Rattus norvegicus: one gene and its partners. The protein of the gene in region 3 purifies or fractionates together with the protein of the main gene of each other region. This does not show direct contact. Links are inferred from orthologs where the notes say so. Each region holds a gene or a part of one and is shown on either strand. Other genes may lie near its edges. The genes, in order: Ctdp1, Coprs, Wdr77, Clns1a, Lsm4, Sirt7 and Gar1.

Region 1 (4,300 bases), on a different chromosome or scaffold from region 3:
AATCCTTACTTGGTGTCTTTGGGATGGTTAGGGATAAAACACTAAGCCTGAACGCAACTGGGGAGGGAAAGGGTCTATTTTGCTTACACTTCCACATGGCTGCCTGTCTTAGTTAAGGTAACTATTGCTACACGTGTGCATATATAGGGTTAGAGTTGGTGAAACAGAAAGATTGGGGAGGGAAGGGTTTATTTGGCATATATATCCACATTTAATGAAGTCAGGACAGGAACCAGGGCCAGGAGCTGATGCAGAGGCCACGGAGGGTCTTGTTTACTGTCTTGTTTCTCCTGGCTAACTCAGTCGGCCATCTTAGAACTCAGGACCACCAGCCCAGGCGTGGCACCTGAGCCCTCTCCCTAGAAAACCAGGCACCTTGGACGCTATAGGCTACAGTTTAGGCAATTCATTGAAACAACCCGTAACAACAAAGGCCTGTTGGATTTGCAGAAGACGCAGTCACGAGTATACGCATCTTGATACAAACATGTTCACACCTCAGGTCATCCACTCAAGTTTTATGAGAATGCTATTTTAAAGGTTTCAGGAATTGCGAAATCCCCAGTCAGAGTGTCTCTTGGCTCCCATTTGTAGGCTTGATATGTGCATCAAGCAGGATCTGATGAGTAATTAGTGCACAGCAGCCCCAGGAGGAGCGAGCAGGCGAGGTGGACATCCTTAATCCACAGTCTAATGCTAGAAACTCCACTCTGAAAAGCGCCGCAGTTGCAAGCAGCCACTGCGCACACTTCTCTGCTGCGTAGCCGGCTAAAGAAGGATCGAGTCTAGGCCGCGACCTGCGCTGGAACTCGGTCTCGTTAAGTCCAGCATTCGCAGTGCTTGACGGGAGGATGAGCAAGACCCGGACCCAAAGTCTCCAGGCGTACGGACCGCTCTGCGGAGGGAGACCTATAGTTTCTCCATGAAAACCTCGCAGTGCACGACGGGAAAGGTGGGACCGAGTTTCGTGATGCATGCTGGGACTGGTAGTCTCTCTTGACGTCAGGACTACAATGTACTATCCAATACAGCGGTCCGCGCCGAATGCCGGCGTCAGAAGACTCCTGTGGTTGGAACTCGCAGTGTACGACGGGAGTTGCCATAGACACGCACTGTATGCCGGAACTGGTAGTCTTGATGCGTCAGGACTAGCAGTGTGTGACAAAAGTCTTGTGACAGCGGTCCGCGTGACATGGCTGTAGTCTCCATACCACGGACTGGCGCCCCGTAGGTGTGGACCAGCGCCTCTTGGCTCCGCGAGGGCCGAGTGTTTATCCTTATCTTGAGCGCACGCAGTCACGCGGATGCACGTCGCCTGTCCCGCCCTCCATGACGCAGCACGCCCCCCGGAAGTGGGTGCGCAGCGAGCGGCGGGTGAAGCCGGTGTCGGAGCGGGAACAGCAGTGTCGCCGCCGCCCGCGGTGGGCGCCGCGCCCTGAGCGCCCGGTGTTTTCGTTTCTCACCTCTGTTGTGACCGTCCGTGCCGCTCGCTGGGTCACGATGGAAGCGCCGCCCTTGGCCGGCGTTCCCACCGAGTGCACTCCGGCGGTGGCCGGGGCAGAGGTGCGCTGCCCGGGCCCCGCGCCGCTGCGTCTGCTGGAGTGGAAGGTGACGGCGGGCGCGACCGTGCGCATTGGCTCGGTGCTGGCAGTGTACGAAGCCGCAGTCTCCGCGCAGCCCGCAGGGCCAGCCCCGGCTCGCGCGGCCTCTGGGGGCTGCGTGCGCGCCTCGCGGACAGAGCGCAGGCTCAGGTCGGAGCGCGCCGGCGTGGTCCGTGAACTGTGTGCGCAGCCAGGCCAGGTGGTGGCCCCTGGGTGAGTGTACTGAGAAAAGGGACACCCGGGCTCTCAGGATGTCGGGGGTGTGGGGTGGATTTCTGGCTACAGTCACAGACTGGGCGTGAAAGCTACGCTAAGGGGCTGCGGGGTGAGACCATAGAAAGAATTGTCACCATTAGTGATTTTGCCAGCCCTGAGATATTTTGAGTTTGAAAACTTCTCGGTGACCCAAGGTTACTACTCCCTTTGGGATATCTTTTGCCTTCGTCCCTCTTCTGTAATTGGTGGACTCCACCTTTGTAAAGTGAAGGCAACTTGGGTGGCTGTGGCCGCGGGACTACTCAGGCAGGTTCCAGGCTCGTTACAGAAATAGAAGCTGTCGGGCGTGTGTGTTTCTACAAACGCTTATAAAACTTTGTGAAACGCCGTTGTAAAAACCCGGTGGTTCTGCAACATAGCCACCGAGAGGGCAGAACCCAGACTGTATCGGGTGATGTACTTGGTCCTCGAAGTCCTGTGAGGACTCTTTAGTTGTCAAACTTGTGTCCTGTCTCTGTAGGATCTTGGTTTGGTTCGGTTCGATCTGCCACTGTCCAGTTTTATGTTCGAGTTTTGCCAGGGTTGTGTTTTGAACCTAAATTAACACGTGGGCATGTGGGTCACGTGGCTGTGATTGTTTTGATTGCTAAGAACAAAAACTACTGGGAGAAGTGAATGCTCCTGCCTACTGTGGGTTGGGCTGAGAACTTCTCTTTGAAGACTATTCTTTCTGCTCCTTTTCTGATGCCCACTGCTCACTTCTTGGACTGGTCAAGTCTCTTCTTTATTGAGTATTTCCTGTCTAGCATTCTCCACAAGGAAAATTTCTATTTTCCACTGATCTTGTCATAGACCGAGAACCCCGCCTGGCTGTCTTCCTGGTCAACTCCCCCTAGTGCTTCTTGGAGATACTGCCTGGGTTCTTGGTTTGTGGACCCTATCCGTACCCCTGCCCACTGGTTTGCTGGATTGCACAACCACCAGGAAAACTTGCTTCTTTGGGACTGACTCTGAGGGACCTGTCTGTCTGGCTTCCTCTGGAAGTGATTCTTGGGATCCTGGGTGACTCACAGTGGCTACCAGTCCAGTGGTGTCAAGTGAGTTCCTGCTTCTGGGACAGTCACTAGCAGCATCACTTTATTTAAAATGCTTCCCTCCCTTTTCCTGTTATGTGCATTTGTGGACAGCATCTTGTCAGCATTCTGGGGAGGAGTGTAGTGAGTTGACATGTGTGCTTCCTGTACTGTTCCTGTATACCTGAAGGTACGTGGGTGACAGGAAGAAGCAAGTTCCAAGGCCTGGACTTAGCTCCATTTGTATTCCCTGTGTCAGTCCTGATAGTTTCTCTGTAATAAATGTCAAGGGCGTTCATAGGTGTCTGGGCGTGGACCCAGGGCTCATAAGAAGGGTAGTACTTTCTTCCCCAGCCACTGGCTCTTCCGGACACCAATTAGGCCTCCCCCAAAATGCCTGTCATACTTTTGCGGAACAAAGTTTAAAAAGAAATCACTGGATTGAGTCACTTTGTACAAAGATCACCATGCACAGAATTGTCTTCACAAGGCACAGCCTGAAGAGCAGCATCCCACTGAGCAGATCTGTGCAGGGCAGGCAGCGGTCGGTCAACAGAGTTCATCATCCATGGTCCCTACAGGCTTTCTGTAGCACACAGTTACACCTAAGTAGGCCTTTCCCCCACAACTTCGCTATACAGGCCAAGTGTCCTTGATCTTACATTCAAAATCTAAAATATTCCAAGGTCTAAAACTAGGGCATAGATGCTCTTGTGTTTTCTAGTGCTTGGCATGTGAGTCCTGTGCAAACACGCCACACTCCAAATAGTCCTGAAACAGCAGCACTTCTGGTCTCCAGCATTTCGAATGAGGGATTTGAATATTAGGAAGTCTTTCTAAAAGGCATCCGTATGTCTCTATTTGAGAAAACAGAGAGTAGTAGATACCATTGGATCCTGGTGTTGAATTGGACTTGCCATGACTGGTAGACCTTGGTCAGCAAAGACCCGTCTGGCTCATACACACCGCGTACGCTGAGCCAAAGCCTTCCGTTTTTAGATTTCTGTGTCTGGCTTTGGTGCAGCCTCATCCAGCATCTGTTCCATCACAGAACTTCTTCACCCCAGGTGGGGGCAGGAAGGGAGGGTGTCAGGAAGGAGCAACCAAGCCTGATAGCCCTAGAAGTTTGCTTCTTTCTGAGCATGTCTCAGAATCACACTCAAGACTACTTTATAATGAACTCATCTGAGCAGTCCTGGAAGTTTGCTCATGATCTAAGTTCTGTTCGTCTAGCAGCACCACTTCTGTCAGTGCTGGATTGCAGATTCATATTCTTAACATCACATGGGAGAGCCAACATTTACTGACATTTGCATTAAACCTTTGTAGAGTGATTATTGTATGGTGGTTCTTAACCTCCACCCACAACATGCACTTTATATAGACTTATGATTGGTGGATTCAGAACTG
Region 2 (4,129 bases), on a different chromosome or scaffold from region 3:
CGGTGGCGAGTATCCTGGGTAGCATCACTACAGATCTTCTAACTCAACCTGGATGTGTAACGGAGACTTTTCCTAGCTTCACACACCAGATGCTTTTCATAGTCTCAAGCTGTTCCTCCCAGTGAAATGGGGTGGTTTGGATCCACGGGCATCCAGTACCTCCTGGAAGCTTGCAAACCAACAGTTCCACTCAGACAATGGGCAAAGAGGGCTGGCCAACACGAGAAGACAGACAAGACAGAGGGACCGTGCTGTTTCCCTCCATCTCTTCCAGGGGACACCCCAGTCTCCACCGTCTACTTGCCTAGTCGGTCCACGTCTAGCTCAGTCTCTGTCTCCCCACCAGAGAGGTCAGCTGTGGCAAGACCAGCCTGTGGAAGAAGAAATAATCACCAGGAAACTGGGTATGTGGGGCGTGTCACTGCTCTGAAGCCCCAAACCCTCCCTCCCATACTGCCCTGCGCAAGGCATCACCCAGCAGCACTTCTCCGCTCTGACCACTGGGTGTGCCCTCCTGCAGTGGCCAACTGACAGATGCTGGCTTTGCTCTCACCCCTGGGCCCTCTTCAGAAGTCTGGGCAGCAGGACTTCCCCAAGCTCACAGACCCTGAGGCTAGATGGGACAGCTCCCTGGACTCAGTTTGTAACCTCAGGTCTGTGGAAACTCTTTCCTCTAAGTTTATGAACACTTCAACTGCCCTAACTTCATCTCTCTTCTTCTTGGCTAGGATTGACTGCTGTTTCCCGATCCTGCAACTTCTCTGCAAACCTTTGCCTTTTTCAGTTCTTTGTCTCAATGTCTAACAACTCCTAACAAAGCCATGCCCGCAGTGGTCCATGGGGGAAGCCGCCTGAGTTCTAAACACTGGAAGGAATACCTAATCCCCACTGCCAACCAGGAATGTTATGCCCTGTTACTTCAAAGTTCCCCAAACTTTATTCCCCCCAAGATCTCTCTGCAGTGGAACCCGTAATGTCCAGAGCGTGGATGGTCAGGCAGAGTTCATTCAGTCTTAGCCCTGCCATTCATTCAGGGTGTGACCTCTAGAAACAGAAATGGTTGTTATGTCCTGGGAGGGGTCCTATGATGAAGGGACATTCATAAAACATCCACTATGGCTTGGAGACAGAGCTCAGTGGGAGAGTGTTTGCCCTGTGTGCACAAAGCTCCACACTGACTTTCCAACCCTACATAACATACTACAGGTGGGTCATACTCAGAATCCCAGCATCTAGGAGGGAGGGGCAGAAGGGTCAGAAATTTAAGATCATTCTTGGCCACAAAGTGAGCTCAGATCCTAGGCTACATGAGACCCTATCTCAAAAAAAAAAAAATTACAATAAAATAAAGCCAACAACAATAACAAAACCACCTGTTAAGACTTCAAGGAGGTAACATTTCTTTGACTTTAATCCACTTATTTATTTATTTATATATTTACTTTATTTGTATATAATTGTATGTGCGAATCTACCAGGAGGATCCCTGGAGAGGGAGTTGCAGAGGGCTGAGACATCTGTTGTGGGTGCGGAGAACTAAGCCGAACTCTGTAAGACCACCAAGGTTGTCTCTCCGGCCTTAAGCACCCTTCATCCTGCATGTAAACTGTACTTAGCACTCACCCAAATTAGCGTTCATTATCTAGTCACTCCTGAGCTTTAACAGCTCAATTCATCTCTTGTAGTCAGTGATAACCATGGGCCACTGTTGCCCCCCTAGGAGCTGAACGTCTTATGTGAACCTATGCCCATCTCTCTACTCCTGCTCACTCTTAGCAAGTGTAATCACTCCTCCACTCAAAACCTTCACAGGCCCTCTGCTGCCATCACAGACTGGCGATGGCATCCATATTGCCTCTCACGTTCCTCAACTTGCTGAACACAGTCCTCTTCCTGAAAAAGGCCTGCCCTCCGACCCAAGCTCCAAGGCCATTTGCCCCGTACTTTCTCATATCCAGACCTTTGCTGGGCCTACCTTCTCACCCAAAAACATCCTTTCCAGCTCCGCCCTGACTTTCTATTTTGCAAAAGTAATTTTCTTTGCAAATCTATTGGTGCTGTCGCTTCAAGTACCATCTGATGGTACAAGTACTGATGTCCAAGTAAGCATTCCACTCATACACCCAATTAGCATATACGTTGTGCCAGGTACAGGCGTGGCTTCTGGTAAAAAGGATGCCTACAGTCAAGAAGTCACTGGAGAGGTAGACGCAATAAGGGCAGGTCGTGGGAAAAGGCTGCATTGGCGGGCACTTGAAAACAAGTTTCTGGAAACCCCGTAACACGACGGGCTCTTTCGTTTTGTCAAATGGGGAAAAGCACGGGTGACATCAGCGGCACATCCCTATCAATGGCCAGAGGTCCTCAAGGTAAGGTTAAAAAAAAAGATGTTTCCTCGCCGCTCCCGCCTGACCCGGCCCCCTGCTGCTGGAACCAGCTCGGGGCGGCCAGCTCCGCGTTCTTTGCATTCACTCCCGCAGGAGCTCCCGAGAAGCCCCGGTGTTCTCTCCCTCCCGCGCCAGCCACAGCCTAGGGCTCGGGTCCACGCGCGTTTCCGCGCCCACCGCCGTTACCGGACAGGCTCTGCGCGCACTCGCGCGGCCCCGGCGTTTCCCGGGTGAGCGGTCTCTCCGGAGCGCTCGAGCCCCTCGACTTCCAGCCCGGGTGGTCGCGGGTGCCCGCATCCCCCACCCCGTGGCGCTCACCTCCGCGCTGGGGGCCTCCCATGCACTCGGCTCGCCCGGCCCCGGACCGGTGGCTGCCTGAGGGTCCATGCCGGGCCGCCCACAGCCAGGCGCCCGGGACGCTCCGACACGTGACGGCTGACAGGCTGCGGGCGAGCCAATCGGCGCGGCGCTGCGACCGAGGGGGCGGGGCGGCGCAGGGGCAGCGCCGGACGACACGCCCACCTGCGTTGTTCCGGACCGCAGGCTTTCCAGCCCTATCTGACCTCAAGCGCTGGTTTAGAAGAGCCTTAGGCCAGACTGGCCACTGAGCGTTCCTAGGCACCCGGGACTCCCCAACCGCAGTGTGAAATGACCCGAGAGCATATAGAGCCCACCCGGCTGTCACACAGTCACAGCCTCTGGGCTCCATCACTTTCGCTCTTCCCCATCACACGGTTTTCCAGATCGCCCTCTGCACCTGCACTACAGCATCTCTTAATGAGTAACTCAGCAGCCTGGAGAATTGCTGCTTTGATTTAAGGATAGTCTTTAAAGCCAATCCGCTAGGAACCCGGATAAAGGATCAAAACAAACTACGTGCCACCACAAAACGTGGTGTGTCATCGAATTTGGAGTCAAAGCCAGTGCTCCAAGTCAGTAATGTGACTATGTTGAATAATTCTCCGTTATAATTCTCCGTTTTCCATTTTCGTCTTTCCATGATTAATCTGGCTATTTTTACTGGCATATTGAGTACGGGTAACTAACCTAACTTCGGACACGGGTTGTTAACACCCCCTCCCCCAACCCCCTTCCCGCAGTTCAAAACCGTTGGGTGATAGAAACTGACAAAGCTGTCTTTAGTGGTCAAAGTCCTACAGTGTACAGTCTGGTTTCCCCCTAATACCTCAAAAACATAAGTCAGCGGCTAGCTGGAGATAGCAGTGTGTGTGTGTGTGTGTGTGTGTGTGTGTGTGTGTGTGTGTGTGTGTGTGTGTGTATGTGTGTGTGTGAACAACCCAGCTGCAGAGACAGCCTTTACTGCCTCCGCTCCCCCACAACAGCCTAAACTCCAGCAACAACACATGTCTACTACACATATAAGTTGGCGTATACATAGACATAAATACTAGAGATGAAAATTTCCCACCTGGGCTAACAGTGCTTCTTTAAGAGCCATCAACCGTCTAACAAAAATCCCAAGACCAGGCGTGAATACACCCCTTTAAGTTGCTGGCGAAGGTTGTCCAAGAGACGACTATCAATATATTATAGGCTCTTGCTATTGCCCTTGGCTGACCTTCATAGGTGAAAAGTAAGTTCCTACGGTTGAAGACACCATATACTTAAACGCAGGGTCCAGAGGCCCCTGACTGGAACTTAGCTGAAAGCCTCCTCCCTGAGGGATCAGCTTTCATGATTCCAGAAGATGCTATGCAAGCTTCCAACGGAGGAAAACAACG
Region 3 (3,500 bases):
TGCCCACCCTCTGACAACACTGTTTTCTGTCTCACTGAGACTTTGCTGACCACAGTGCATGGGGTACCCAGAGTAAGGGTTAGTTTCCATGTGTAGTTTACTGTGCAAACAGCTGGGCAAAGGGTCAGGGTTATTATTTTTATGTCTTGTGCTTTTAGTTGTACAGGAGATGGCAGGAGATGGATGGGTAGATGTAGGTGTAGGCTCAGGGGTGAGGACATACATGACTGCTCTGGCAGTCTTTAAGAAACTCAGTGAAAGTGCTCCCAGGATTTACTGACTTCTTTTGGAAGAAGCTTCTTCTAGGTTGTGACCATTGTTCCAAATCTCCCTTTTTTCCCTTCCAGGCTGCAATGCCTCTGGCTACCTCCCTACCTCCCTGGCTTGGCATCCTCAGCAGAGTGAAATCTTTGTCTTTGGTAAGGCAGCATGACGTATCGACTCTGGGAATGGGGCGGATACCTTGGAGTACATGCTCCTGTCAGCACACTTGGGCACTGCATGGATTATGTCGGTTTTACCTAGCTTTGGAGACCATCATTTTTTCCTAATAGGTTTGCTTCATTGTTTCAGCTCCTTTATTCTGGGCATGGTTAGAAATCAGTGAGCTGCATAGCAAGTGCTTGCTGTTAGGGAACTATGTTCTGCTGTGGTGTGACTACACATGGCAAGAGTTTGTAGTTAATGTAATAACTTTATCCAGTAATTCACAGCCACATAGTGACTGACTGATTCTATATCACAAAGGAAACTGTTGTCTACATCTTGAGAAACTAGGATTCATTCAAATCTCCCATCTGACTGACATCAGTGTCTATGGCTTTTTTTTTTTTTTTTTTTTTTTTTCCCTTCAGCCAAGACAGGGTCTGTATGTAGATGTAGTTTGGACTGTCCTAGAACGTGATAGGCCCAGTTGGCCTTGAACTCTGAGATCCTTCTGCTTCTGCCTCTCATCACATACTAGGATTAAAGGTGTGTGCTACTTAGCCCAAATCATAAATTCTTAACCACTGTGACATGCTCTCTTTCTTCTACAGGTGATGAGAATGGATCTGTCTCCCTTGTGGACACCAAGAATGCAAGCTGCACCCTCAGCTCAGCTGTGCACTCGCAGTGTGTCACTAGACTGGTGTTCTCTCCACACAGGTACTGTTTGTTACCAGGAACCTGGAAGGGATGGGTGGGGACTGTAATGAAAGAGTAGGAGTGGAGTGATACAGGGATGTGTCTATTTGGCAAAGCGTTAGCTGCTTACATTGGACCTCAGATAGGGCAGTACTCTAACCTGGTTTTCCTAAGCTTGTCCAGATAGTCTTTATTTGGTTTGTGTAGTTTGGAAAGACCTAAGATGTAATCTCACTCCTGCTCAGAGCCTGTGGGTGGGTAATTGCTAATGTAGGGAGGACCCTTGGGCTGGTTGGTTTCCGTGAGCACTGGCTCTGTTCCATCTTCCTTGGATGTAATGGTGGTAAGATCTGAACCCAAAGTGGGCATCAGACTGCCCTCTCCCCGGCTCACTTTACAGTGGGGTTGGGGCTGGCCCTGTTAGATTTCGGTTGTAGAACCTATGGGCATTATCTTCTCTTCCCTTTGTGTCCTCTCCTAGTGTTCCCTTCCTGGCCTCTCTCAGTGAAGACTGTTCACTTGCTGTGCTGGATTCAAGCTTTTCTGAGGTGTAAGTTTGAAGTAGAATCCTGTGGTCGGGAATCAGGGATCAAGACCAGTAGGCAAGCAAGTCTGTTTTCTCTTCAGGAACATGCATGTAGAATTCTTCCTTTGTTGGGTCTGGAGAAATGGCTCAGCAGTTTAGAATACCTTTGTTTCTAACATCTGCATCAGTCTGTACATAGCTGTTTGTAACTCCAGATCCAATGCATATGATACCTGTGTGCGTCCGCACTCAGTTGCACACCCACCCACATGGAGATTATTAAAAATAAGTATAAATACAAGAAAATTCTTCATCTTTGTCTGCAGAGATATCCCCTCCCCCAAGTCGTCTCTGTTTGCAGCTGTGTGTCTAAGACCGAGTGCTGGAAGCTGTCTGATTGTAGGCTGTTTACCAAGCGCTCCAGCTTCATGCAGGGCGCCACTTCTGAGAAGTGGAACTTGCTGTAAAGCACTGGATGGAAGGCCTGGGTGTGTCCCTCTGCCATAATTTCCTGTTGACTGTGGGCATTATTGCTTCCGATTCTGTCCACCATTTCTTCACCTAAGAAAGTAGACTGGATTGGATAATCTAACATCCACTGGCCTGGTGATGGGGCTGTGTAGATGGTGAAATGTTTCAAAAAATGTGTCATAAGTGTATGTTATTAGTTTTTTTTTTAATTTTTTTTTTTAATCGTTCCTCCTGGGTTTTCATCTTTTCTCTTACCACACCACATTTTCCCCTCTTGTTCTAGGTTTAGAAGTCGAGCCCACAGAGACTTTGTGAGAGATGCTACATGGTCTCCACTCAATCACTCCCTTCTTACCACAGTTGGCTGGGACCATCAGGTCATCCACCATGTTGTGCCGTTAGAGCCTCTCCCAGCCCCTGGACCTGACAGTGTTGTGGAGTAGAATGGATTGCAGAAGAAAAGAGCCTTCTGTCTGCAAGTGTCGACTCGCTTGCCCCTGCCTTCCATTTGTGAGAGAGAGAGCACAGGAGCCTTGTAGAGCATGATTACTCCCTAGTCCCGTGCAGTAACTAGTCAGATTCTCAGCCTGAGGGAGGCTGCATCCCATAGTGACTTGGAGGAAAAAGCTTCCTTTATAAATGGATGTATGTGTGAGTACACGTGTGAGTGCAGTGTATAGTTTGGAGTGGAGAAAATTATCCTTCAGCTTTCCCAAAGCAATGCTCTTTACCCCCGACAAAATGACCAGAGGATTTTATGCTTCCCATGTCTGGGGGCTGACTATGTTGTTAGGGATATGGAGTGTGGGTATCCCTGGATGCTTGGGAATACTTCACATTACTCAGAGGTGCGTAACTTATTTTTATATAGAGTTTAATTCACTATATGGGAATTACTTCCCATATACAAAAGTCTAGCCAGACTACCTTGAGAAGACAGAACAGTTTTGTACGAATGCCTGTTAAATGGAATCAAATCCACTTTCTGGGTGAATCAATTTGGCCCTTGGAGTTCGCGCTCGCTCACCCTGTGTTCCTTCTTTTGTGTTGTGTATGAGAGATGAGTGCTTTCCTGTCCTAGATTTCACAGTTTTAGGGATGATGGAGTACTTAAATTAAAAGTGTTTCAGTGAAGCGAGAAGATTGACATGGATTGTTACAGAGAAATCTGTCATTGTCATTTTTCCCACCTAAAAATTCCCTGAGGACTGATCTGGGTACTTTGCTCTGGAGAGCTGAAGTCTGAGCGCTGTATATTTGGACTCCTAAGATTGAAGATCCGGCATCAGAGAAACTGTCAAAAATACTGGAAGGTGAAATAAAGACTTATCCTTTCATCTTTCCTCCAAAGCTTATTTATTACCTGCTTTGCTTAGGT
Region 4 (3,500 bases), on a different chromosome or scaffold from region 3:
CAACTTTAATCCCAGCACTGGGGGCAGAGGCAGAGGCAGGCTGAGTTCAAGGACAGCCAGGGCTATGTAGAGAGACATTGGCTCAAAGAAAAAATTCATGGGCAACCTGGGCAGCTGAGGCCAACATGGGCTAAATATTAAAACTATCTTAAAATAAGGGGGAATGGGGATGTGGGGGTTGGGGGAGCAGGGGAGGAGAAAGTGGAAAGGATATAGAATATAAGTGTGTTCTGTAGAACCACATCCCCATTCCCTTCTATTATTTCTTGTATGGGAGTACACTGTAACTGTCTTCAGACACACCAGAAGAGGGCATCAGATCCTATTACAGGGAGCTGTGAACCACCATGTGGTTGCTGGGAATTGAACTCAGGACTCGATGCTCTTAACCGCTGAGCCATGTCTCCAGCCCCTGTGGCTTCCCTGTGGCTTTCTCTCAAAGCTGGTAATAAATGGGAACGTTACCTTGTCTCCTAAGGCAATAACAATTTTTTGAACTGTGATTGAAATCACAGCTGCTTTGTGTGTACATCATTTAATGTATGATGAATGGAAACGTTGATTACCAAGCGTCTGTTGCATGCTTACCTACTGAGAACTGTGCTAACATTTTTGAGGAATGTTAAATGAAGGGATGGAAGTAGGAGACTGACAAACAGGATCTGTTAACATACATGTGTGCATGTGTGTTACTGAGCTGCAGTGTGAAACAGAAGAGGTTCCTGTGGAAAAGAGGGCTCATGGAGTTATTTGGAACTTGTCTAGATGAAAAGATCTCACAGCAAAGAAGGTAACGGAATAAGCATGAAAGACAGACAGGCAGGTAAGGGCCGAAAGCTGTTAAGAGCACACGCTGCTCTTTGGGAAGACCAGAGCTAAATTGCCAGTGACCACATTGGAGTTCACAGCCTCCAGCTCCAGTAACTCCAGCTCCAGAGGATCTGATGCTCTCCTCTGACCTCACCAGTACCCACATATATGTGCGCATGGAGGAAAAATAAACACAGGTGACTTGAAAAAAACCTGCCTCTCAAATTGTTTGAACTTATAGCTAGAGGAAAAGAAATCATAGAAGAGAAAATTCAATCCTTGTTGCTAAATTTTCTTATTTTAAGAATATTTCTAATATTGTCAATAAACTTAAATTTCTATGCATAAAACTGTCTGAGTTGAACCTTTATAAACTTTGGGGTATTAAGTTAGGATTTAATTTCTAAAAATAATCTGCGTAAAACATGTTTTTCAGCCGCCTGTCTTGGCTAGATGGTTCTGGATTAGGATTCTCACTGGAGTACCCCACCATTAGTTTACATGCGGTATCCAGGGACCCAAATGCTTATCCTCAAGAACATCTGTATGTCATGGTGAATGCCAGATTTGGAGGTATGTATGCTATAACTCAATCCAGTGCTTCCTCTGATAGTAAAGTGCATTTTAGAGGGCAGTGTTTGTTTGTTTGTGATGAGGTCTTCAGGTTGCTCAGGTTGGCATTGCACTCCTGGGCTTGAGTAGAATAACAGTCCTCATTCTCCTAGATGCTGACACTTTAGTTGTGTGCTTGGTGCTATCTGAAAAACAGTCTTTGACAATACTCAATGTAAAAATTAAGCCATTGGCCCACATTGGATAATAACATATTAAGCCAAGTTAATTACCTAAAACACAAGCGCAAGGCCCTGGGTTCGGTTCCCAGCTCCAAAAAAAAAAAAAAAAAAAAAATCTAAAACAATTTGACTACTTGAATTTCTTCTAACAGGCATATATTTACACTTAGAAGTCTTCTCTTAATATGGTTATATTCCAGGGTTGGGGATTTAGCTCAGTGGTAGAGCGCTTGCCTAGAAAGCACAAGGCCCTGGGTTTGGTCCTCAGCTCCGAAAAAAAGAAAGAAAAAAAAATATGGTTATATTCCTATTTTTTAACTGCTTATTCCTTCTCCTTCTAAAGGCATTTCAGAGATGTGAACCAGTATATTCTATCTTTCAAAAATTTAAGATAGATCGTATATATCTATTTTATCTATTTTATTTATTTTGAAGATGTGCATTAGGGAGAGGGTTGAGGGTTGTTGCCCGAATTTATGTCTGTGTGCTACTGTGTGGGACTGAGGCCAGAAGGGGGTGAATATTCCCCTAGAACTGGAGTTACAGCCTATGTGCATGTGTCTGTGTGTGAACATATGCTACCTGTGTGGATGCCTGTAGAGGACAGAAGAGGATTGGATCCCTTGGAGCTTGAGTTACTTCAAGAACCGAGCTTCTAGTAGCTACTTTTCCACTGCTGTGCCAGAGCACCAGCAGCTGAGGAAAAGGCTGTTCTGGGGGTTAGAGTCAGTGGTGGTGGAGCAAAGGCATGAAGCAGAACCAGTCCCACCCCCAGTAAGCAAGCTGAGCCTTACTTGCCAGGCAAGTTATTTTCTCATGAGTCTCAGTTTTCTTAAAAACTCAATCTCTAGAGGATTATGTTAGTCTCACTTTCCACGTGGCCTCGTCTCCTAAAGATTCTGTTAACCCCAGTCGTACCTCTGGCCGGTGACTAAACCTTTAACGGTAAAGTCGGTTGGAAGCCTGGATGCTGCTGTTCTTTGTTTGTGCTGATGCTCAAACCCAGGGCCTCCTTCCTGTACTGGGTAAGGGTTGCACCTGGCGTACCAACCATTTCCTAAATTTCTTACCATCCACAGCCTTAAGGGAGATTCCTGAGACAATAAGCAATTGTTAACAGTGGTTATTTCCAGGGTATAGATTCAGTTCAGTATAACCATGGAGATCTGGGGTTGGGTTCTCAGCATCCACATTAAAACTGCACCTTTGCCCCAGCAGTGCAGGAACACAGATGGATAGGCAGATCCCAGGGGTCTGCTGTCCAGCCAATCTCACCAAAACAGTAAGTCCCAGGTTCAGGAAGAGACCCTGTTTCCAAAAAAAAATGGCGATCAAAGGCCTGGGCTCAACTTAGGGCTTTTTTATACATGTATATAAGCGAGCATACCAGTCACACCTGCATCTCTATCTCCCTCCCTCCTTCCCTCCTCTTTTCCTCCTACCGCCCATGCCCCACCCCCACCCCCAACACACCGGTGGCTATTTCTGGGAAGAGGATCTAGATGCTAGGCTCTGTCCTCTGCACTTTGAAATATTGTTACTCTAGACTGTGTTATTCTTACACAGTTACTACTGTACTGTAGTTACAATTACTGTTGTATGTGTAGTATGGTGACACATTGCTTTTTAAAATGCATCAACAAAGTTTGGAGCTTGTGGCTAATTCAGTGATTTAGAATTTTTCAGTATGTGTATTATTCTGCTGAATAATTAAAGGTACGTTTTTAAACAACATGTCATTGGAAACAGCACAGAAAAGGTATTATCAGTGGCCAGAGTTTTTTCTTTTGCTTGTCTATTTTTGTGCTATTGTACACTGAACTTGTACAAATCAGTACTACACTGGTGGATGCCTCTTGTTTACTGTGTCAACCCTACTGGATGGAGAGACCCCAC
Region 5 (2,920 bases), on a different chromosome or scaffold from region 3:
TTCCAACAGCATCTTCTGCTCCCTCTGGGAACCAGGTATGCATGTGCTGGGGACACACACAGATGGACACACACAGATGGACACACACACACACACACACGCACACAGTCTCTCTCTCACTTGCACTCACACACGTCCCATGGTGTGTTCTCCCTAGGTGCACTTTCCCTGCAGTGTGCTGGGTTTACTCAGGGTCAGAGCTGTTCTGCTTGCTGGAGCAGCCTGCCAGCCGTGGCCTTAACCTCCCACACTCTTGCCTGTCCCCGAGGGTCAGCCATCACAGGCTTGGCTTTTTAAGGGCTTTGTAGCCCCAGCTGGCCTAAAACTTCTGGCTCTCCTACCTCTCTGCCCTCTAAAAGTGTTGTCTGCTGCACTCTCACCTCTGCTGGCAGGACACACAGACAGCCCCACACCCAGGGAACAGCTTCCTCTGGTGAGACAACCGTGCTCAGGGATTAGGACTGTAAGTCGGGTCCGTGTAACCAGAGGGATGGCTGGCTCCTTCTGTGGTGTTTGCCTTTATTTTTTCCAACAGAAAACGTAGGGGGTGGGGCTGGGAAAGGACAGGTAAACCACCATGTGCGGAGCCTGCAGCTCCAACATGAAACTCAAACAAGCCTGGAAGAAGCCAGCCCTTCAAAGGACATCCAAGGCTTAACAGTCAACTCAGACTGGGAACCTTCCAGAAACTGAGTAAGTGGCCAGTCAGGGATTTCACTGGATCAGACGCCAAGTGGGGCTTCACGCAAAGGCGCCCGGAGGTCTCCTCACCCACCTTCCTGGACTCAGTTCAGGCTGGGACTGCTCACTGCTTGCCTGCCTGCCGCCCTGGCTTCTTCTCCGGCTGGCCTCGGCCTGCACCAGGGATGCCACCCCGGCCCCGGCCACCAAACACACCTGCACAGGACAGAAGAGGTAGAGTAGACACCAGCTTCCCTGGGCAGGGACAAGGATCTTCCCTTCTATGCCCTACGCCACTGTGCAAGGGGCCTGTGGGAGATGCCAGGTTATACTCAACCTGGGAAAAGAGCCCTCCCCTCCCCAGCCCAACAGGAGCCCACACCACTATGTCCTCCATGGAGACTGTACAGGGTGCAGAGAGGAGAGTGTCCAGGTATCCCTCCCTTCCCCACCTCGCCCTCATCGTGACCCTACCTCTGCCAGCGCCACCCATGCCTCGGCCTTTCTGCTGCTTCTGCTGCTGCGGTCCTCCTCGCCCTCGGCCCTTGGCGGCCTCTTCCCTCACCATGTCAATGATCTCATCCGGGATACGCAGGTACTTGATGGTGCTGCCTCGGATGTAGCACTCGGGCATCCTCCAGAACTTGTCACCGTCCTGTGGAGAGGGGAAGTGTCACAGGCAGGCACAGTCCATCCAGGCCAGCCATGCACCTTCCCAGCGTAACCACTCACCCTCGATGTGCAGATCACTTCTCGAAGGTTGATGTTCATCCAGTTGTCGCAGCTCACCAGGTGCCCGTTGTAGGTCTCCCCATTCTTCAGCTCCACCAGCTGCAGGAGATCCCGTCAGCCTAGGCCAAGCAGCCAGGGCTCAAACACACCCGGCTTCACATCCCAAACTACAGCTTTCTGTGCAACTAATCAACCTTTGAGGCTGGGCTGTCATTCACCTGCAAGTGCTGTGATGAGCAGGCACCACCCAGGTTCCCTACCTAGTGTGTGGACAGAGACAATTAAAACTCCACACTAGGTAGGCATGGCGACACACACCTGTGATTCCAGGACTCTGGTGGCTGTGACAGGAGGATAGTGAGGGGACAATGGGCAAGCCCAGTCTGGTCACCTATAGGAAGAATATTACACAGCCAAGAAAAGGATGACTCAAAACCTCTGAGTGACACGGAGCCAGCCACACGCTCCTCACTCAGAAATGTTCACAAGATGCAAAGGCAGGTGCAGAGGGTAGGTGGTCACAGGACACAAGCAGCCAGGGCTTGGGGTGAACTTGACATGGGTGCTGACAGGTGTAAGGCTAGGCTCTGGCTGTGTGAAGTCTAGGGACACACTGCCTATCAGAGGCAGCGCTCCTGTGGTTCCTCCAGTCCCGTAGCATTCAGGGCCAAGTCTTGGCTACGCAGCCATACTGCTGCTCCTTTTCAAAAAAAAAAAAATGGTTCAACCAGTGGCAATCCTCCTGCTGCAGCCTCCCAGGCAGCTGGGATGACAGGTGACCTGTCTGTGCTGGGGACTCTTGGGATGGGACAGGGAATACATGGGTTGCACTGTGCCCCAGTTTCTTCCTGACACTACTTTTAAAAGATTTTCCTTAGACATTTTACTTTGTATTGCATTTCTGTCTGTGTGCAGAGAGGGAAGCCATGACTCCCTTCCACCATCGTGTGAGTCCTGGGGATTGAATTCAGGTCCTGCAGCTTGGCAGCAGGCACCTCTACCCACTGAGCCATCGTACCAGGCTTCAAGCGTAAACTGCAAAGGACTAGGGTGAGGGCACATGAAGGGAGGTGGCCCAGAGTAGCCTTGCTTACCATGGGGTGATTCTGGGCTGTCTTCAGCAGCGACAAGGGAAGCTGGAAGGCAAATGTCAGTGTGAGGAGTGTCCCCCAATTCAGGGACAACCTGGGCATGGCTACCCAATGCACACGGCTGTGTGACCTCGCATCATCCCATTCTACAGGTGTTGGCCACCTGGACATCCCGGACCATTTTGGTCATTTCTCCACAACTCCTGTCACCTAGAAACACAGAAGGGGGCACAGTCCAATGTGTGGAGGTAGCAACCTGGTAGGTTTTCTGAGGCAGAGCCTTGTCATACAGCCTATGCTGGCCACAGCCTTCTGAATGCCCAGGGCTGCACACCTGCCTGGCATTTCTGCTCCACACCCTGTACCTGTGCGTCCAAAAGGGATGATTTGAGTCCCCCGGGTCCCAGGTGGGAAGG
Region 6 (4,000 bases), on a different chromosome or scaffold from region 3:
GCTACAGCCCACTTGGAGATGGTGAGGCCACTTCCCTGCTACCTCCCTCTCTGGTGTGGCCACTTGGCCAAAGCTCCCATCCACAGCTGGGGTGTCTGAGCCACAGCCTGCTACACTGTTTCCGCTCTGGGATCTTCTGAGTTACTCTTTTAGGCTGTGGTTTGGTGAAAGGAACCAACACATTAACGATCCCCCCCCCCCCCAAAGCCACTGAGTAATTCTTGGCATGTTTTCTAAGTGCTGTTGGCTGCCTGGTTTGGGAGCAGTTGTGGAGAGGACAGACTTAGTACCACACAGAGGCATGGGTGTGCGAGCTGCTCACAGCTTCCTTGTTTCTGGCATGTGTCCTGGGTGCGTGCTATACCTCCCGGGCCAGCTGCACACCTATGTACTCTGCCCCTGAGAGGTAGAGTGTTCAGGAAGTGTCCCTGATAGATTCCCTGTTCTCTGTGGCCCCAGTTGGGCTTTTGGCTCCTCCAGCAACTTCATGCCCCAACCCTACCTTTCCTCCCATTTCTTTCTGTCTGCTAGTCCCTGAAGCCTTTAACCAAATGGGAATGGGTACAGAAAGCCTTCTCCTGGCAACTTAGGGCAACAGGACAAGGGCTATTGTGTGTCCAGCTCTGTTGGTCTCCTGGTGCTGAGAGGTGTGTCCAAGCAGAGTTGATCAGCCCCTGCCTGCCCTGCAGGGCTGAAGCCAGGGGGAGGTTAGTAGAGAGTACCCTAAATGGGGTGAGGGTCCTTAAACATCCAAGTGAGGAGGGGCTGTTGTGTGGCTGCAAGGTGAGACCCTGTCTCCAGCACCTGGGTAGGGCCATCGGGGATCTGGCTGCAAGGTGAGGTCTGGACTTGGCATCAGTGCAGAGCGATCAAGTCACCTGGCCTCAGCAGGCAGCAGCCTTGGTGCCCACCCGTGCCCTGCGCAGTATTTATTGCTAAATTATTGTCCAGGAGGGGCGGCACTGGGCCTGGCCCCCCGGGTATTTATTGCTGTACATAGTGTATGTTTGTGATATATAAGGTTTTCTTTATTTTGTATATGATCAATAAACGCCTTTTAAAGAGATCTGGTGGTGTTTCTTTGAAACGTGAAGGAGCAAGGGAAAGACCAGGATAGGAAGGGCGAGCCGGAAGGGGTGGGAAAGGCAGGGCGCGCGCATGCGTCTTTGTAGCTGCCGGATGAGGCGGAAGCGGAAGCCGGAAGCGCAGTCCAGGGAGCGATGGCAGCCGGTGGCGGTCTGAGCCGCTCGGAGCGCAAAGCGGCTGAGCGGGTCCGGAGGTTGCGGGAGGAGCAGCAGCGGGAGCGCCTCCGTCAGGTAAGCCACTGCCATGCCCGCGCTCGCGCCGGCACGCGCAGTCGCTCACCTACTGCTCGTCCGTAGGTGTCACGCATCCTGAGGAAGGCGGCTGCAGAGCGCAGCGCGGAGGAGGGCCGGCTTCTAGCTGAGAGTGAGGATCTGGTGACCGAGCTTCAGGGTCGGAGCCGGCGGCGTGAGGGCCTCAAGCGCCGCCAGGAGGAGGCGAGTCGCGGGCAGCGGGTGCTGGGCTGTTGGCTGTAGGCTATAGCCTGTAGCCTGTAGGCGGTGGGCTGCGGCCGGAATAACCAGCTCTGGCTCCTGTCAGGTGTGTGATGACCCAGAGGAGTTGCGGAGGAAGGTCCGCGAACTAGCCGGAGCTGTCCGAAGTGCCAGACACTTGGTTGTCTACACAGGCGCTGGGATCAGCACGGTAAGTGACGGCCTGCACATTGCTTCAGGTGTGGGGCGCCCCCTTCTGGGGCACAAACTTGGGCTGTTCAGTGCTGGAGTTCAAATGCTCTCTCACCTTTGAAATAACTTCAAGGTGTCCTTTCTCGGAGATCCGGAACAAAACAATTCTAGATTTAAGATTTAACTAAGGCAAAGTGACCAAGGTGGCACATGCCTTTAATCCCAGCACTTGGGAGACAGGATCTTTGTAAGTTCAAGACCAGCCTGGTCTGCATAGGGAATTCCAGAACAGTCAGGGGCTAAAAGATAAGTCAATCAATAAATAATAATTTAGCTAAGTCAAAGAGTTTCAGAATGCTTAATTTATGAAAGCCAGTCAAACACGGAGCGGTAGTAGGATGTAGTAACCAAATACTTGCTAATGGCTTCTCACTTAAAGTGGAGACATTGATCCATGTGAATAAATGAAAAACCAGTGTCGAGTCCCAAATCTCTAATCTCAGGACTCAGGAGGTGAAGCCTGGTAGGGGAGGAAGCTCAAGGTCAAATGCTTGAGGCCAGCCTGGCTCAAAGCTTGATGCAAGACCCTGTCTAAAAAAAAGAAAGAAAGAAAGAAAGAAAGAAAGACAGAGTCACACAGTACAACAGGTACAAACGAGAAATGCTGTGCTCCTGACTCTGAGAGATTTCCTGGGCTGAGGGATGACTACCTTTGAACGTGTGACTGTATCAGTACAATCATGTGTGAGTGTGGAATGAATGTTTGACCCAGGTGAACAGTTTCTATTCTGAAGAAGCCCTAAAGTGGTCTGGTGAGATGGCTCAGTGGGTAACATGCTTGCTGTGCAAGCATGAGGACCTGAGTTTGAACTCTTAGAATGCATATGAAGAAGCTAAGCAATACCACACCCCTGTAACCGCAGAACGGGAAGATAAGCTGAGAACCCCTTGAAGCCTGCTGGCTAGGCAGCCTGGCCAAATCCATGAGCTCCACGTGTAGTGGAAGGTGGGGGTGGGGGCTGTGAGATGGCTCCCTGAATAACTAGGCACTTGCTACCAAGCCTGGTGGAGTTTGGTCCTCAGAGCTCACACAGGAGAGGACTGACTACAAGGAGCCTTCTGACTTTTCCTTGTGCTCATGACCCTTGCACCTCCCTCCCAACAAATGTGTTAAAAAAAAAAAAAGTAAGATGGGCATTGAGATTCACACACCAACACATGTAACATGTGGGTCTACACACATGTGCACAAATGCAAAGACATATACAAACAGACAAAAGAAGACCTCTGTTACAAAGGTATAGTCCAAAACCTACTACAGGCTCAGACATAAAATCCTTAAAGCTGGGAAACCCTTTGGTGGCCTTGCTGCTGGAGTGGCATCTTGGGCTCTTGCAGGGAAATGTGAGGGCAGGAAGCATGACAGACAGACAGCAATGACCCAGGAGCAAAATGAGGAACATTTGCTGCTCCAGCTCAGCCATCTGGGGCATAAGCATTCCAGGCCTAGCCCTTCATAGCCCTGCGATGATCCAGCTTTGGCTTTACAGCAGTGACTCTACAAACCTGGTGGTTAACTAAGTTCTGCTCGCAGCTCGTAAATGTGACCTAAGCACCATTTGAGGTCCTTCCCTCTGTTGGAATTACCTGCCAGGGCAGGCGCTTCTCTGAGCTTAAGCAGCAGTGTATACAGGGCTTTCCCAGCCAGGATCCAAAGACTCCCGGCTCCTAGATTGTTTTGTTTGTTTGTTTGTCGTGGGAAATTACTTAACGCTTACCTGGTTTTATGTTAGGTTGGAATGAAAACCTCAGAGCTGCAGGATATAAGTGGACAGAGGACCCTCTCCTGGGGTCACTATTTGCTAAATAGTGACCTGAACTCTAAAACCTGTTCCTTCGGACACTGATGAGCCTAAACAGTTTCCCCCTTCTGTGTTCAAGACAGATGTGGACACAGCTGCTCAGTGCTAGCAAGGACCCTGAAGTAGGGTAGGGTTCTTTGGTATTCGAAGGGTGAGCTGGGGCTGGAGAGATGGCTCAGCGGCTAAGAGCACTGACTGCTCTTCCAGAGGTCCTGAGTTCAAATCTCAGCAACCACATGGTGGCTCACAAACATCTGTAATGAGATTCAATGCCCTCTTCTGGTGTGTCTGAAGACAGCAACAGTTTACTCACATATATACATAATCTTTAAAAAAAAAAAAAAGGGAAAGGTAAGGTGGCCCAGACAGGACAAGAAAGTCACTTGGATGGAAGGAAAGAGCCATAGTGGGGTACAACCCATTTGGGGA
Region 7 (4,144 bases), about 25 Mb from region 3:
TTAAGTTTGACTCACCTTCTGTAGCTTTTTAAAAGAAGATGCCTTCATGTTTTCTGACAATTTAACTGAAAAATACTATCAATTACATTAAGGAACAAGTAAGAAATAAAAATGCAAAAAGATTAAACTTTTGAGTTTAACCATTTTAAAAAAGAATGCCTAGGTAGAAGAAAGAAATTTCCAAAAGAAATTGGTATTTCTTTAAAAGTAAAAAACAAACCCCAAAACTCACAATCAATACCTCGAACCCTAATGCTACCAGGGACTCATTATGTGTAAAGCAACAGAAGAGCCAATACAACCCAGTGGCATTCATCCAAATGGCTACCACTTCCAAAACGCAAAGTACAGTCCTCTCTCCTTGGTGCATCACTTCATATAAATACGGATGAATGAATGCACTCCCCTGCAGATTCTCCGTGTGACCCATCTGTAACTTTGCTAGCTTACTTTGATATTTAACTGGCTGGGGAGGAAAAGGGACAGTAATTCCTTAACAAGATCACTGGCTCATACAATCAGAAAGGATACAAAATCTCTAAGTTGTCCAAATATTTCATCCACTTTCCCGATTTGTTCTTTGTTTTCTAAATAAACAGGAGCATTGAAGTAAGGCACCTTGTTTTCTTCTGTGGTACATTTACAAACGATGTCATCTTCACAGGGATGCATGAACTCTCCTAATACTGAAACAGCACAAGAAAACAGAACCACTTCAAATACTGACCAACTGCTGGAGTTCCCCGCTTGTCTTTCCCCGCATCTGATGCCCTCTCCAGCACAGCTCAGTCACCAACCCTGTAGTCCTAAGTTAGCATGTCATTACCATGGGACCTAAGAGACCCCCTTCTCTCTGTACACTGTAAAATGAGGCTAGTCACCTCTAACGGCAGCCACACCTGATACTTAAGCAACAGGAACAACAAACACAGTGCTTACAACAGCACTCATTCAATGTACAACAGTTACCCTGTCAAGGCTGTTATGACTGCATTAAATCCACTGATTTTCCCTTCTTTACCCAGCCTCAAACTGTGAACCACTCTGGTTTTGTTGATTGCTTCTTCCTTCCTCAGAACTCATCACCACTACCACCTCTTCACCAATGACTATCCTTCCTCAGGAAGTATGCGAACTCAAAGTACACCTGTTTCTGTAACCCAGAATTAATACCATATACCTACAAAGTAACTCCCTACCCTTAACAACAGCTAGAACCTTTCTTAGTATTAGTCAAGTTCTATGTGTCATGTGTCTTTTGAAATCTCTTCTCCATCCATGTGTTCAATGCACTGCCTTCAGGCTGCATGGAACACAGGACAACTGTGAATGTGGCCCAACACAAAACGGTACACTTATTTACAACATGTTTTTGAAGGGTTGTGCAAGGGACTGTGTGTGTGCACGGTGTGTGCTAACTAGGCTGCATGGTTATGTGGAGTGTGAATTTTGTGATGTCAATGTGACGCAGAGTATTAAAAAGGTTGGACCTATCTCCTACCTTTCCCCTTTTCCTCCTGTCACCTTTTCAAACACAGATCTCAACACCTTATATATATGGCTTACTACACGTCCCCTTGACTTTAGTCATTTTGTTCAGCAAATTCATCCTGCATACAGATCCACCACTTCCCCCTTACGTTTGCTGACTTCCAATCCACCTCTCCCATAATTACTCAAAATTACTTTAGTTGGGCATTTCTTTTCTTTTGCCTTCTCCCAAGCAGGTTTCATTTCCCCTGCTTTTTGGTAACTGAAAACATGAGCTATGGAAGCTAAAAGCTTAGGTTTGTGTTTTAATTATGTCATTAGGGAATCACACTTAATCCTGAATGGTTTTCTGCCCTTTAGAATGCCTAGGTACTCAATATTGTCTAAGTCTCTACTTCTCTGTCCCAATTCAAGTTCACCTCCACGCTGCATTTCCGTTCTCATGATCGGTTCCTTATATGCTATGAAATGACTGTCAGGGAACCCGACTTGCCTTTTGGAGACTTATTATCAAACGTGTGAATAACATAAACCGGACTCTATTCCCATTGCAAAGGAGGTTAAGCTTTGAAGACGACTTACAGACGACTCGTTCTGGAGGCCCTTGATCTTGGAATTTATTGAAGCCTCCACGACCGCCCCCTCGTCCAAATCCTCCTCGGCCGCCGCCCCTGAAATTGCCGCCGCCGCCACCACCGCCGCCGCCCCCTCGGAAGTGGTTGTTGCTGCCGCCGCCACGATTGAAGCCTCCACCTCCACCACCGCGATTAAAGCCTCCGCGACCTCCGCCTCGGAAAGACATGCTCTCTCCGGCCTGGTGAAATAGACGGCCGGCTCCTTCCAGTCAGTGCGGGCTGATCATTTATCTATTTCCCCTCCGCCTCGCTCGAAACACCAAAAAGAGGACAGCAGTGAACGCCGCCCGCCACTCGCCCACATAGCCAGTGGCGAGCGCGGAGAGAGGGGTGTCTTCGTCCCAGCCCCACGGCCCATGCCTCGCCACCCTATCCCAACCCGCTGCTTCCCACAATCTTGCCCTCCGCCGCACTCACCGCGCCACGTGCGTCTCTAGCTCAGCTGGGCGCGCGCGCGGAGCGATACTTCCGGCGCGCTTAAACCTCCTCGGCCACCGTACGGTACAATTTTACCAGACTAGATATTGGAAGGGCTGGTTTGCAGGAAGAGGCTGTCACTACTTAGACGCAACGGTCCTAATGCCTTCCCGAAGAGAGCATACAGCACCGGAAGAGAAACAATAGCACCCAGCGTGACCCCCACCTCACCCGCGCAAGGTCCACCTCGCTAGGGGTGGCGGAAATGATGCAAAATAGCAGCGCCTTCCGTACTCGACGCTTCCGGAAGTGTGGTGCCGCGTTGCCCTTGGAGACAGGGGTGGTTTGGGTTCTTCGGCTCTAATCGCTGGTCAGGCCTTTGGTCGGTGAGGCGTGTTGGGTGCAGTTAGCGCCACTCGCCAGGCTCTGTCACTTCTTGGGTTGCGAGAAGGTCCCGACTTGACTCTGCTCCACGGAGTGTGGCCACTCGAGCCGTGCTCCGCCCAGGGTCCAGTTGCCTTCTCTTTTTATTGCTTTTGTGTCCTGTTATTAATTAGGAAAGGGTGTGTGTTTGTATTTGAGCTGACAGAAAGGCAACCATCTTTTACTATTGTTTGAGTGTATTCATTCGTTCATCAAGTGCGCTTTGAACACCTAGAGAATGTGTTCTATAGATTACACCTCACCTCCTGCCTCCTTAACACTCTCATCTCTGACATCGGTTTCCTTACATCACTAAAACTTCGCTCGTAAGAAGTGACCTCTAGTTCTTAAATTTGGTTGACTTCTTTTGTATCTGTATTGTCTGAAACATCTCTTGGCATTTGACAATACCACTTTTTACTTGAAAGAAAGTAGAGAATGATCCCCGTATCTGAGGGTTATTGTGAATAAATTTTTGAAAGATCTCTGTAAATTAAGAATTCCAGTATGCCATTTACCCTAAACTATAAACTTCTTGAAGAAGTACACACTAGTCCCACATATAAAAAAATTATACAAATGTACTTTAAATATAAATGTAACTGGATATATATATCCAGTCATATATAATATCTAGTAAAATATAACATGCAATTATAAAATATTAAATTATAAGATGTGTAATAATTATTACATATACAATTATACATACATCATATATATGTGTGTATATATGTATATATATATATATACATAAATCAGCACTATCCCTACCTCTATTCTAGGTTTGTGGCAGTCTCTAATCAAACCTGATGGATTTCTCGTGATTCCTGTGAAGTACCTTTGCATTGTCATCAGCTGAGTACAGCCTTTTAACACTGCTACCTTTTTTCATTGTCACTCCAAATCACTCATAAGAATTCAGAAGCTCAAACATCACAGCAGGCAACATCTCCCATTCTGGGCTCCAGACTAAATAAATACCTGTTGACTTAACTTCTTGCGTCTGTGCTGCATTTGGTGATATAGTGAACTTAATAAAATGGCTGTCTTGTACAGTCTCATACTCAGCCCATGCCCACCATAGCCCTGCACTTTCCCTTGGCAGTATGTCTAGAGTCTATGATTAGTAATCAGTGTGTGCACATGCCATCCCTCTGCCCCATCATGCTAGAATT

The links.
Region 1: the proteins of Wdr77 (region 3) and Ctdp1 fractionate together in Homo sapiens (co-fractionation; 3 studies listed by BioGRID and IntAct, with this or other methods). This does not show direct contact. The link is inferred for Rattus norvegicus from reciprocal best matches to the Homo sapiens genes WDR77 and CTDP1.
Region 2: the proteins of Wdr77 (region 3) and Coprs purify together in Homo sapiens (affinity purification with mass spectrometry; 3 studies listed by BioGRID and IntAct, with this or other methods). This does not show direct contact. The link is inferred for Rattus norvegicus from reciprocal best matches to the Homo sapiens genes WDR77 and COPRS.
Region 4: the proteins of Wdr77 (region 3) and Clns1a purify together in Homo sapiens (affinity purification with mass spectrometry; 6 studies listed by BioGRID and IntAct, with this or other methods). This does not show direct contact. The link is inferred for Rattus norvegicus from reciprocal best matches to the Homo sapiens genes WDR77 and CLNS1A.
Region 5: the proteins of Wdr77 (region 3) and Lsm4 purify together in Homo sapiens (affinity purification with mass spectrometry; 3 studies listed by BioGRID and IntAct, with this or other methods). This does not show direct contact. The link is inferred for Rattus norvegicus from reciprocal best matches to the Homo sapiens genes WDR77 and LSM4.
Region 6: the proteins of Wdr77 (region 3) and Sirt7 purify together in Homo sapiens (affinity purification with mass spectrometry; 3 studies listed by BioGRID, with this or other methods). This does not show direct contact. The link is inferred for Rattus norvegicus from reciprocal best matches to the Homo sapiens genes WDR77 and SIRT7.
Region 7: the proteins of Wdr77 (region 3) and Gar1 purify together in Homo sapiens (affinity purification with mass spectrometry; 3 studies listed by BioGRID and IntAct, with this or other methods). This does not show direct contact. The link is inferred for Rattus norvegicus from reciprocal best matches to the Homo sapiens genes WDR77 and GAR1.

The regions. Positions count from the first base shown.
Region 1 is NC_086036.1:76,187,409-76,191,708, reverse strand, and holds the start of Ctdp1 (RNA polymerase II subunit A C-terminal domain phosphatase), read left to right. Parts: upstream 1-1,500; coding exon 1,501-1,814; intron 1,815-4,300. UniProt on the Homo sapiens protein: Processively dephosphorylates 'Ser-2' and 'Ser-5' of the heptad repeats YSPTSPS in the C-terminal domain of the largest RNA polymerase II subunit. This promotes the activity of RNA polymerase II.
Region 2 is NC_086034.1:82,422,151-82,426,279, reverse strand, and holds the start of Coprs (coordinator of PRMT5 and differentiation stimulator), read right to left. Parts: upstream 2,801-4,129; 5' UTR 2,775-2,800; coding exon 2,706-2,774; intron 372-2,705; coding exon 305-371; coding exon of another isoform or gene 301-304; intron 1-300. UniProt on the Homo sapiens protein: Histone-binding protein required for histone H4 methyltransferase activity of PRMT5.
Region 3 is NC_086020.1:196,130,382-196,133,881, forward strand, and holds the end of Wdr77 (methylosome protein WDR77), read left to right. Parts: intron 1-347; coding exon 348-419; intron 420-1,037; coding exon 1,038-1,146; intron 1,147-1,606; coding exon 1,607-1,675; intron 1,676-2,405; coding exon 2,406-2,565; 3' UTR 2,566-3,472; downstream 3,473-3,500. UniProt on the Homo sapiens protein: Non-catalytic component of the methylosome complex, composed of PRMT5, WDR77 and CLNS1A, which modifies specific arginines to dimethylarginines in several spliceosomal Sm proteins and histones.
Region 4 is NC_086019.1:161,437,169-161,440,668, forward strand, and holds part of Clns1a (methylosome subunit pICln), read left to right. Parts: intron 1-1,246; coding exon 1,247-1,383; intron 1,384-1,390; exon of another isoform or gene 1,391-3,500. UniProt on the Homo sapiens protein: Involved in both the assembly of spliceosomal snRNPs and the methylation of Sm proteins.
Region 5 is NC_086034.1:18,788,967-18,791,886, forward strand, and holds the end of Lsm4 (U6 snRNA-associated Sm-like protein LSm4), read right to left. Parts: intron 2,550-2,920; coding exon 2,508-2,549; intron 2,114-2,507; coding exon of another isoform or gene 2,034-2,113; exon of another isoform or gene 1,540-2,033; intron 1,533-1,539; exon of another isoform or gene 1,513-1,532; coding exon 1,414-1,512; intron 1,337-1,413; coding exon 1,156-1,336; intron 898-1,155; coding exon 806-897; 3' UTR 501-805; downstream 1-500. UniProt on the Homo sapiens protein: Plays a role in pre-mRNA splicing as component of the U4/U6-U5 tri-snRNP complex that is involved in spliceosome assembly, and as component of the precatalytic spliceosome (spliceosome B complex).
Region 6 is NC_086028.1:106,398,699-106,402,698, reverse strand, and holds the start of Sirt7 (NAD-dependent protein deacetylase sirtuin-7), read left to right. Parts: upstream 1-1,200; 5' UTR 1,201-1,220; coding exon 1,221-1,316; intron 1,317-1,382; coding exon 1,383-1,520; intron 1,521-1,623; coding exon 1,624-1,728; intron 1,729-4,000. UniProt on the Homo sapiens protein: NAD-dependent protein-lysine deacylase that can act both as a deacetylase or deacylase (desuccinylase, depropionylase, deglutarylase and dedecanoylase), depending on the context. Specifically mediates deacetylation of histone H3 at 'Lys-18' (H3K18Ac).
Region 7 is NC_086020.1:221,053,950-221,058,093, forward strand, and holds the start of Gar1 (H/ACA ribonucleoprotein complex subunit 1), read right to left. Parts: upstream 2,801-4,144; 5' UTR 2,544-2,800; intron 2,306-2,543; 5' UTR 2,294-2,305; coding exon 2,074-2,293; intron 687-2,073; coding exon 532-686; intron 76-531; coding exon 16-75; intron 1-15. UniProt on the Homo sapiens protein: Required for ribosome biogenesis and telomere maintenance. Part of the H/ACA small nucleolar ribonucleoprotein (H/ACA snoRNP) complex, which catalyzes pseudouridylation of rRNA.